Linked DNA regions of Daphnia pulex. The protein of the gene in region 2 purifies or fractionates together with the protein of the main gene of each other region. This does not show direct contact. Links are inferred from orthologs where the notes say so. Each region holds a gene or a part of one and is shown on either strand. Other genes may lie near its edges.

Region 1 (4,756 bases), on a different chromosome or scaffold from region 2:
GATATCTTGCCGTATCGAACCACTGAGCACCAACCCTTATGTCACGAGCTTTTTGACAAATTTCTTATGCCTGACCCCGATAAAGGTTAATGTTTTCCCGCCCAGCTACATTGCGAATCTACTATCGAATTTTTTTAACACGAATCATCGATATATAAAGTGCAGATCCTCCGTTTGAAGCAAGAGAGACGTTGCGAGCGTGGCAAGAAAGAAATCACCCTTGGCTGGAATTATCAGATGTACACAAAGAAACGACAGAGAATATCCGTGTAACCGTTACTCCTTTTTACATGGGATGCCGAGAATCCCAAAATTCAACTGTCTTTTGGGTTCGTTCCATTGGTAATGTGAATCAAATTTTTTACAAATGTAATTTTTAACTTTTGCAGTGGCGTTACTGTATCCGGCTCGAAAACTTGGGAGAACTGTCTGTACAATTACGTGAACGGCACTGGCGTATTTTCAGTCTTTCGGGTACCCTAGAAACGGTTCGAGGAAGAGGAGTAATTGGACAGGTAATTAACGTCAATAACCACCGTTCAAAATTAGAATGTAACATTAAATCGTTCTTAAGGAACCGGTCTTGTCACCCGAACAACCAGCGTTCCAGTATAGCAGCCATATTTCACTACAAGCACCATCAGGGCATATGTGGTAATTTCAAGTTATTTTTCACTATTTATTAAAGAGTACAACAGCCAAGTTCAAATAATTTATTTTTTTTATGAACAGGGGAACGTTTCGAATGGAGAGAGAAGATGGGCACACCTTTGACTGTCGCATCCCTCCCTTTTCATTGGAAAGCAAGAACGAGGATAATAGCTTGCCAACCGGCGTGGTTTAATGGAGTCGTTCATGATAATCATGAAATATGAACAACAACAAACTTTGTACATGAAAGACAACTGCTGGCTTTTTAGTTTTTTCTAAGGTTTTCAAAGATCTTCGTTCTAGAATAATTCTAGGGCATTTTTTTCGTTTTAGTGATGCGGTCAATAATTCGTTCTCGTGGCATTCATTCGTCGTCGTCGAAGTCGACGTCCGCAGGGCACTATAAGAAATCAATTATTAGAGTGTATAAGGGAGAGGACGGTTGTAAAACGTAATTTGACGGATAGAACTTGGAAAAAAAAATGAACTTACGTAAAAATCGATGTAACAGTTGTGGTTGTCTTCTACCTTGATCATGAATTGGAAACATATGAGCCCCGTATCGTCGATTCGTAGCGAAACCTTTTGCGCTATTCCAAGGGGTTTGATGGATGGTTTCATCAAGGAGAGCTTGTATCTAAAGTCAGAAATTGAGCTAATACATCGTGTACGCCTTATTATGTATGTGTATCTATTTCGTACTTAAAGGACACTGCCGAGGTACAACGAAGAGTTTCTATTACATCGCTCTCTTTCGGAATATCGACCTTGAAACCCAAAACGTTTAGAATTAGAACGCGCTTCACTAAAAACTTTACAACGTGATTTACATGATAAGTTCCTGAATGACCAAATGTTGTGATACGAAAATTTGACGAATCAGGTGACAAAGAAAACTGAACAGTATCACTAGTCGAGTCCAACTCACAAAACACCTCTATAAAAACAATAATTATATTAGGAAATTTCTGTCTTCTTTCAACGCTTAATTACCTTTAAGACATTCCGAACTCATAATGATACGACCGATGACGTTAGCCGACCCAAAATCGTAATCCAGGACAGGATCAAAATGAACTGTACGTATCTTGCAGTCAGTGATAACTCCTGATTCTTCCAGCCTGCCAAAAAAAAAAATTATAATTCGAAATAAGTATAAAGAACGATTATTCTTTGTAGTTTTACATACAAGATAGAAACGGGAGTCCCATGGCCGTTATAGTAGAGTTTCAAGGCTGGTGTGCTGCCACTTTGAAGGTTGTTAGAGCCAAATACATTCAAACATTCCAGAAGCACAGTTAAATTAAGCTGAAATTTAATCTCATCTTCTTTAATAACATAACTCTAAATTTCAAAGAGTTAGTAAATTTTGTGAAAATTATTGTTTTTGTGAATTCTTTTTACTTGAAAAACTCCAGGCTCTATAAAGGCATTTAGCTGGACACTTTTCATGTCTTCAACTGTGACTTTTAATCCATCTCTAGTACAGCAAAATACGGAATTCTGAAAGGAAAGCAAAATCACAAGAAGGATGTAATAGGATTAGCTTTTGATCGCTAACAAAACATGTTTTCTCTGTATTACAATTCTTGAAGAATTTACCTCTTTGAAATTTATGGATTTGAGGATATGTGAGATAATTTTTGCATTATCCATACGTATCATCAAGATGTGACTTTGGTCTCCAGACGTGTTTTGAAATGGAAAATTTGGCATGGTGAATGTGGGACTCGTTTGCTCTTTAATGTTGTGGGAGTAGTTTTGAGAATTATGCAAAGGGTTCCTAAAGGATCATCCTGAAATGATCAGTGAAAAAATGTTCTGGTTAATAAGGCTAGGATTTTTTACAGAAAAATGTACTGCACAAAAAATGAACCGACCCAACTGTTACATCCAAGAGAACTATGATTCGAGACGAATTATTCTAGTTTTGACTGAATTCAAAATCTGGTTGTGTTTATCACAATCAACTATACAGCACAATCAAATTTGTTGGATTTAAAAAGTGCTAAACTGTCTGCAATGGAATGGAAGTAAAAATTTCAAGTTTTAATCTCGAGACGACGAAAAAGCCTACCGGCTTATTGATTCAAACAGGAAAATATTGTTATTATTAAACAGAAAGTCAGAAACATTGCGGCGTTGTACAACGCGAGAAAACAACAGTTTAGAGATGGGGAATTCGAAAATGAGCACGCCCATTGGTCGTATGCGACCATTGCGCCACCTAGAAATGTTTTGGCTTCCAAACATAGTTTTCAACTGATTAAGGCAGCGGGAAATGAATTTAAATGTAAAAGTCATGAAAAGATGAAATTTTAAATAAAAATACATAAAAGCAGTAAAGGACGAATGAAAAAAGAACCAAGTTGATGGCTGTTGATGGTTCGGAGCGAGGGAGAAAACTTGCCGCCAGTATCGTTGTTGTAGCGGTCGACGCGTGTACTCAGTTCGGTACCGCCTTAGTTGGCGGTGTTGAAGGGGAGCAGTTCTCTTTCACGTGCGAGGAGCAACGTGATAACAGATACAAGACAAAAAACAGCCCAAACGTCTTTTTCGGTGCTGAGACTTAAACCGTGAAGTGAAGTGTAATTCTTTTGTGGCTAAGTATGTGTGCAATCGAGTTTCGATTGTTTGATTTACCGGCATTTATAACCCAGTAATTCGGCACGTAGACTACTCGGCAAGCAGCAATAGTAGTAGCTTCGGCGCCCCCAAGAAAACCTAAAGGCAAAAATCGGTGACGCCCATTTTGGTGACGTCATCGCTGGGACACGTGTAGCCTGGTGCCTCGCTTGAAGTGCGTAGTTTTTCTCGATAATATTATCTTGTGATGTAGTGTTAGTTTTCAAACGTCACTTTGGCGATCAGAGTGACTTTGGTTTTTCGACTAAATGCAGTATCTTTTGCCGATTTAATTCTTGTCGCATTTAGTTTAGACATTAAAAGCAAGCAAACAAAGAGGCATTTTCCTCTTGTTAAAAGTTTTCTTTTGATAGACTATAGAGAGCTCATTCAAGGCCGCCAGCCTCAGGCCAAAATGAAACGAGTACTGAAACCCAAAAGCGAATGACCCTGTGTGCGTGCGTCTGTGTGAATTTTTATTTTTTTTTTCATTTGATATTGATGCAATGTGGATCCTGGATGTCATCGTTGTTGTTCAATGCTGTTACACTGTTGACTAAAACTGTTTGTGTCTTCTTGACCCACAGGTCTAACACTCAGCGGCTGGTGGTTGTCCAACAATGAGTTTGGAGATTCTCCTGGAAGCCGCTCTATTTGTAGAGCGACAGACCCAAGGTAATTGCTTTGCACAAGTTTAATCTAGTCCCCGTTCCCTCCTAGAAACAAGCAGGATTGCTCATACTGACATCAGTTTGTGCATGCAAAGTCTTTATAATATCAGACTGCTTAGAAGCTCGTGCACCCCCAGTCTTGAATTTCTCGAGCTCTGCAGAGCCAAAGGTTGTGAATCAGTTCCCTATTGTGTTTGGTGTTGGAGGATATGAGCTCATCAATCTTTTGGTTTTCTGGCCTTTGAATCTGTAATTGCCCCCGCCAGGTGCCTCTGTTGGAGCGTGTCTTTTTTATTTTATTTCTTCTTCTTCCCCAACGTCACACTACGGTCATCGAGAATGTCGACATCGATTGTTGACCTCGATCTCTACGAAGTTAGAGCCTGCGCATTGGCATTTTGACGTTGGCAACAGTCCATTCAAAAAAGCTCCTCCTCCTCTTTTATTTTTCCAGGCTCGCCAAGAACAAGCAAGAACGGGTGTCGGGAGTGGGAGAGAGAGAGGTGGGTGAGGAGAGCGATCTATTTGCGCAACTGCGAATCTCGGGGAGAGTGGCGTGCGTGCGCGGGTAACACGCCGAAATAGATCCGAAAAAAGGGTGGCAAAGCCCCGCCCACTTCGGTTCCACAACCCGCACGTGCTAACCAGTGTGTGTGTGTGTGTGTATCCCGCTCGCACTGGGAGGGTGGTGGTGTGCATTGTAGAGCGGATGGGGGAGGTCAAGAGCTAGATAGGAAAGAGAGAGAGTCCGGGAGTGAAAACAAAGTCGTCGCGCACGCAGCCAACGACATGGCTGATTATATAAGAGA
Region 2 (4,490 bases):
ACATATTTTCGCTTTGTCTCCTGGCACCCAGTCTTCTCGTTCTATTATCTAGAATATTAAAAATTATTAGTTTTCAGAATCTCCCACTTGTTGAATTATATGTAAATCTTACTTCTAACCACAGTTTCCTCCTTGCCAAGTCTGCTGGAAACTCATGAAAGGTCAATGGCTCTGGCCAACGATTAGCCTCTCTGTATGATCTGCAGTTATTGACTGAACAAATATTCCTCTCTCGTTTTTTATGCAACATTTTCAAATCATCGGTCGATGAACGATTTAAAACACAGAAGTAAAACTCTCCAAGGCTTCGGATGTAAAGGCATTTGGATCCGCAGACACACACCAACAATATGTAAATATTCAAAAGTAGACAAATACGTTATTAAGTTCCAAGTAGTTTCCTAAAGTGTTTTGTCAACAAACACATGTGACCAAATTAGTCTACAATTGAAAATATTTCTTTCTCTGTTAGAATACGAAGTACCTCTAATGTTTGGAATTTCTGTTCTCTGAATGTGCAGTGTGAGATATTAATCTGAGGCGATACACAGACGCCATCTATACTGCATAGAACATTTTTGTAAACAACGAATATCCTGCCACAAGCAATCTATCTGTAATTTTGTGGCATAATAAATTGAACTAAATACCGTTTTCTAATGATTGATAGATAATTTTCAGGTTTCATAAAGTAATCGCTATTCGAGTTTTTTCCTTTTTTTTTTTATTTCTTAAATTTTCTTTTTGACGATAGATGTCTCATTAGAGGACCAGGTGGCAAAGGGTAATTTTTCAAACTAGGCTAGGCCCTAACGCTGTTTCTGGCTAGTAGGCTATACAAATAACTAATTACACGAAATTTGAAGACGGGAAATTCAAACTCCCACAACGAAAATAAGATACTATCTCGAATGAGAATTTCAGATATGCACTGCATCTTTCACGGAATCAGTTACACAAAGTATAAAGAGAAAAGACGGTCGAAGCAAAAACTCATTCCTTTTAGCCAGAGAAAACTTAGTATAAGCTAATGGAACGAATGGCGAGGAATTCCATAAATATAAAGATACTACTGATCAATGATAATTAAAATTAGAAATCAAAATTTTAAATGAATGAATTACAAGTGATGAATCATGGTTAATAGTAATAGCCTCATGTAAAACGAGTAAGCAAGTTACATCGATAATAATGGGCACAATTCATTGTTTCAGCATTAAATAAATTATTTTGCACGCTTAAATTTGGCTCCTCCTTTGCTTCCCTTTTTCGGTTCCTCGGCCTATTAATAAAAAATGGCAAATTAATTTTAAATGCATCATGCGGTAAAAAACAAACAAACAGATAATACAACCAACCTTGCGCTTTGAAGCCGGTGTGGAAGGCGTAGACGGTTTGCTAGAAGGAAGAACTTTGAAAAACGAATCAAGTCGGCCTTGCGTCTGCCCTGTTTTCGCTTTACACAATTTCTTGGCGCCTGAGCGAATGCGCTCTTCGTTGAAGTTTTTGTCACCACACATAAATTTGACTAGACCTTCTTCATCTGGCTGTGTCCATTTCAACTATATATGGAAAGAGGAGGCAATGGGACAGTGCGATTAGGTTGTGATCTGACACGTAGTAAGTTTAAGGCTTACGTCAAGGGTCTCTGCATCTGTAACATCAGGCGTTTTGAATAGTCGTCTTGCTTCTTGATAAGGCCAATTTTCTGGGACGGTGTACTTTTTGGTATCAAGGTTTTCGATCACCTTTTCAATGCATCGATGTTTGTCTATGAGTTCCTTGGCTCTTTTGGCGCCTATTCCTTTTATCGTGTCACAATAATCGCAGCCCAACATGATGCATAGATCGATGAACTAAGAAATTGAAAATTTAATAAGACAAACATTTTAAGATTTTCTTCGAGCATTTTTACTTCATCCATTGTGTACGACAGTCCGTCCAAAATTTTATCCAAATGGAATTCCTTGATGGGCATTTTTTTGGCTTCACTGTATGTCAAGTATCTCAGCAGGACATTGGAACCAAAGGTCAATGAATCCATGTCTTCAGTTGCAGTTGCATAAACCTTTCCTGCTTTCACCAAAGCTGCACACTGAGCTTCAGCTTCACAGGGTGCCTAGACAGATGAAATGGTCATGCTGAAATGTTGCCAATGCAAAAACGGCCAACCAACCTCAACATAAGGTATTCCCATTAAAGTAAGTAGTTGTTTGCATTCATCAGTGTGTCCTTTGTTTACTTTTACCAGACGCTTGTTCATTTTTTCCATCTCCACTGCATCACCTATTGAAGATAGATAGATAGATAGATTAAAAACCAATTTTCGTGTAACCATAAAATTCTGCACAGAACAACCATAAAATTCTTGTAAATACCTGCATCTGTGGCAAGAACCAGTTGCTTTGATGCTTCTTCTCTTTTCTCTGCTCTTTTGGTCAGTTCACCCCCTTTCATGTCAGGTGGTTTTCCATCAAACACATAAACAGGCTTGATTCCATTATCAACCATCCGAATGGTCCGGTAGAAAATACCCATCAAGTGACTGTATGAAAGAAAACATTTCAATATACTTGTTTAGGGATGGAAAATATGTAAAACTGAACCTAGTAGTTTCTCCATCGGCAGAGGTTAGCATAGCCCCTTCAGATCGTACAGCTATAAGAAACTGGTAAATGCTCATTGAAGCATCAATGGCAACTTTTCTGCCTGAAAGAACACAAATAGGGTTACAGGTATTTACATGATGAATTATTTAACAAGATACCGAAATAGTTCTTAATTTCATTTTCTTTAATGGCAGTAGGAGCAGTATCTCCAATCACTTGGGTCAGCCCTTTAATACCCATTCTGAGCAGTGAGAATCGAATGGTGAAACTAGGATTTAAGAACTATTATGAAACTTCAATTCTGTTTTCTCTAAAATCAAACTGATGCCAGTATTTTCAACAGACGTTTTTTTTTTTTTTTTTTTTTATGATTGATGGGGCTCCGAGTCAACAGACGTTATGAAATTGTATGTGTATCTTAAATGAATAAATAAGAAAGTAGCTCCGGAAGACTGCAGAACACGAATTGTGTCACGGAAAAGGCGCCAAAAAGTAGACGAAGCAGCAAAGCTGAATGCAGCGTTGCCAAACCCAATAATAATACCGCCTCACGGACGGCATCTAGCGGCGGAGATAGAACCATCTGCTGGCTAGGCGGGCTAGCGCAAGCGATTTAACGGCTGAAAGCGACTTTCCCGTCTAAATTTCTCTTAATTAACCGTTTCTATAGAATATTATACCCTAAATAATTAGCATGTCAGACTATTTTATATTGTCATTTGCCTAGTCGCCTAGCCTAGTCGTTGATTTGGCATTTTTGATTTTGACATGATTTTGACATTTGAATTTCGCAACATCGATTGAGTCGATATTTCATTTGTTTAGACTTACATTAACATCACTTGTCGCAGTTATTAATATGCAGGAACGCTTCAAACAATTAAAGGTTTCATCGCAGCTATTATATAGACATTTGGTTAAATAAAAACGTATAGGTATATTCATGACGCTCCTAATGAGTTCTTGACAGGCATCTTTTCTCGTTAGGGTGCTGGGGGATGCGCCTCCCTCCCTGGTCCCCTCCCATAACGCTTGACGCCAAATAAATGCAGAACAGCGGAATCAAGACACACTTAACTCTCCAGTCTCTTTCCACCCGACGTGTATACCGCATCCGCCATCCGCCAGCAGCCAATGCGAGCCAATGCACAGCAGCTGTGGTGGTCAAAATCGATTCGTTCATTGACATGCAACTGACGCTTGTGATATCTTATCTAACCGACGTCAACGGAGAGAGAAAAGAAGAAAAGAAGCTGTTCAGCGAAAATCCAATTGGCTTTTTATTTTGCATAACTAGTAGAAAAGGGATTTTTAGACTTTTTATTTTGACAAATCCGCGGGCCCACGACCACTGCGCTCGCACCCAAATGGCCGCAAAACGGACGAAAACTGTCGCAGCAGCCAGACCATGTCAAAATGCCCGTCAGACATCAGCACAGCAGCAGCATAAGCTCTGGGCTGTTTTGCATCGGTTGATATTTATTCATGGCAGCGCAGAGCACGAACGGGTTTCAGCAGGAGCGAATATAACGGGCGTTGCCGCTTTTCACGTTATAATCTACGGCGAAAGCTTTTGCATAACGAAAATCGATCTGAGCATATCTCAGCACCAGCATCAGCAGCTCGCTCAACTTTATAGGCTAAAAGTATAACCTATACATGTTTAGACGCCTGGCAGCTCTCAGGGTGATCAGCACTAGGCTATATAGCTATAAGAACGAGATTGAGTCAATCACAAGTTTCCTTTCCAGCTTCTAATCTTCTCATGTAAACGGCAGTAGTTATAAATAAATTCTATTTTGAAATCAAATGTCAACTGTTTCAAAGAAGCCCTTTTAAATGCTCGGATAGGTAAAGTACCTCGGCAATTAAATATTCGGA

The links.
Region 1: the proteins of flap endonuclease 1-like (region 2) and cell cycle checkpoint protein RAD1-like purify together in Homo sapiens (affinity purification with western blotting; 3 studies listed by BioGRID). This does not show direct contact. The link is inferred for Daphnia pulex from reciprocal best matches to the Homo sapiens genes FEN1 and RAD1.

Annotation. Positions count from the first base shown.
Region 1 is NC_060028.1:2,684,636-2,689,391, reverse strand, and holds cell cycle checkpoint protein RAD1-like, read right to left. Parts: upstream 3,111-4,756; 5' UTR 2,984-3,110; exon of another isoform or gene 2,532-2,983; intron 2,473-2,531; exon of another isoform or gene 2,448-2,472; 5' UTR 2,368-2,447; coding exon 2,254-2,367; intron 2,155-2,253; coding exon 2,056-2,154; intron 1,996-2,055; coding exon 1,841-1,995; intron 1,773-1,840; coding exon 1,645-1,772; intron 1,589-1,644; coding exon 1,482-1,588; intron 1,419-1,481; coding exon 1,354-1,418; intron 1,329-1,353; exon of another isoform or gene 1,289-1,328; coding exon 1,069-1,288; 3' UTR 1,052-1,068; coding exon of another isoform or gene 1,016-1,051; 3' UTR 845-1,015; coding exon of another isoform or gene 733-844; 3' UTR 700-732; downstream 1-699. Other genes in the region: polymerase delta-interacting protein 2-like, read left to right, coding at 1-85, 166-329, 390-515, 575-654, 733-844. UniProt on the Homo sapiens protein: Component of the 9-1-1 cell-cycle checkpoint response complex that plays a major role in DNA repair. The 9-1-1 complex is recruited to DNA lesion upon damage by the RAD17-replication factor C (RFC) clamp loader complex.
Region 2 is NC_060025.1:1,071,638-1,076,127, forward strand, and holds the start of flap endonuclease 1-like, read right to left. Parts: upstream 3,120-4,490; 5' UTR 3,009-3,119; intron 2,958-3,008; 5' UTR 2,850-2,957; coding exon 2,768-2,849; intron 2,710-2,767; coding exon 2,607-2,709; intron 2,546-2,606; coding exon 2,379-2,545; intron 2,287-2,378; coding exon 2,177-2,286; intron 2,120-2,176; coding exon 1,916-2,119; intron 1,857-1,915; coding exon 1,638-1,856; intron 1,563-1,637; coding exon 1,359-1,562; intron 1,283-1,358; coding exon 1,226-1,282; 3' UTR 485-1,225; intron 402-484; exon of another isoform or gene 306-401; 3' UTR 113-305; intron 49-112; 3' UTR 1-48. UniProt on the Homo sapiens protein: Structure-specific nuclease with 5'-flap endonuclease and 5'-3' exonuclease activities involved in DNA replication and repair.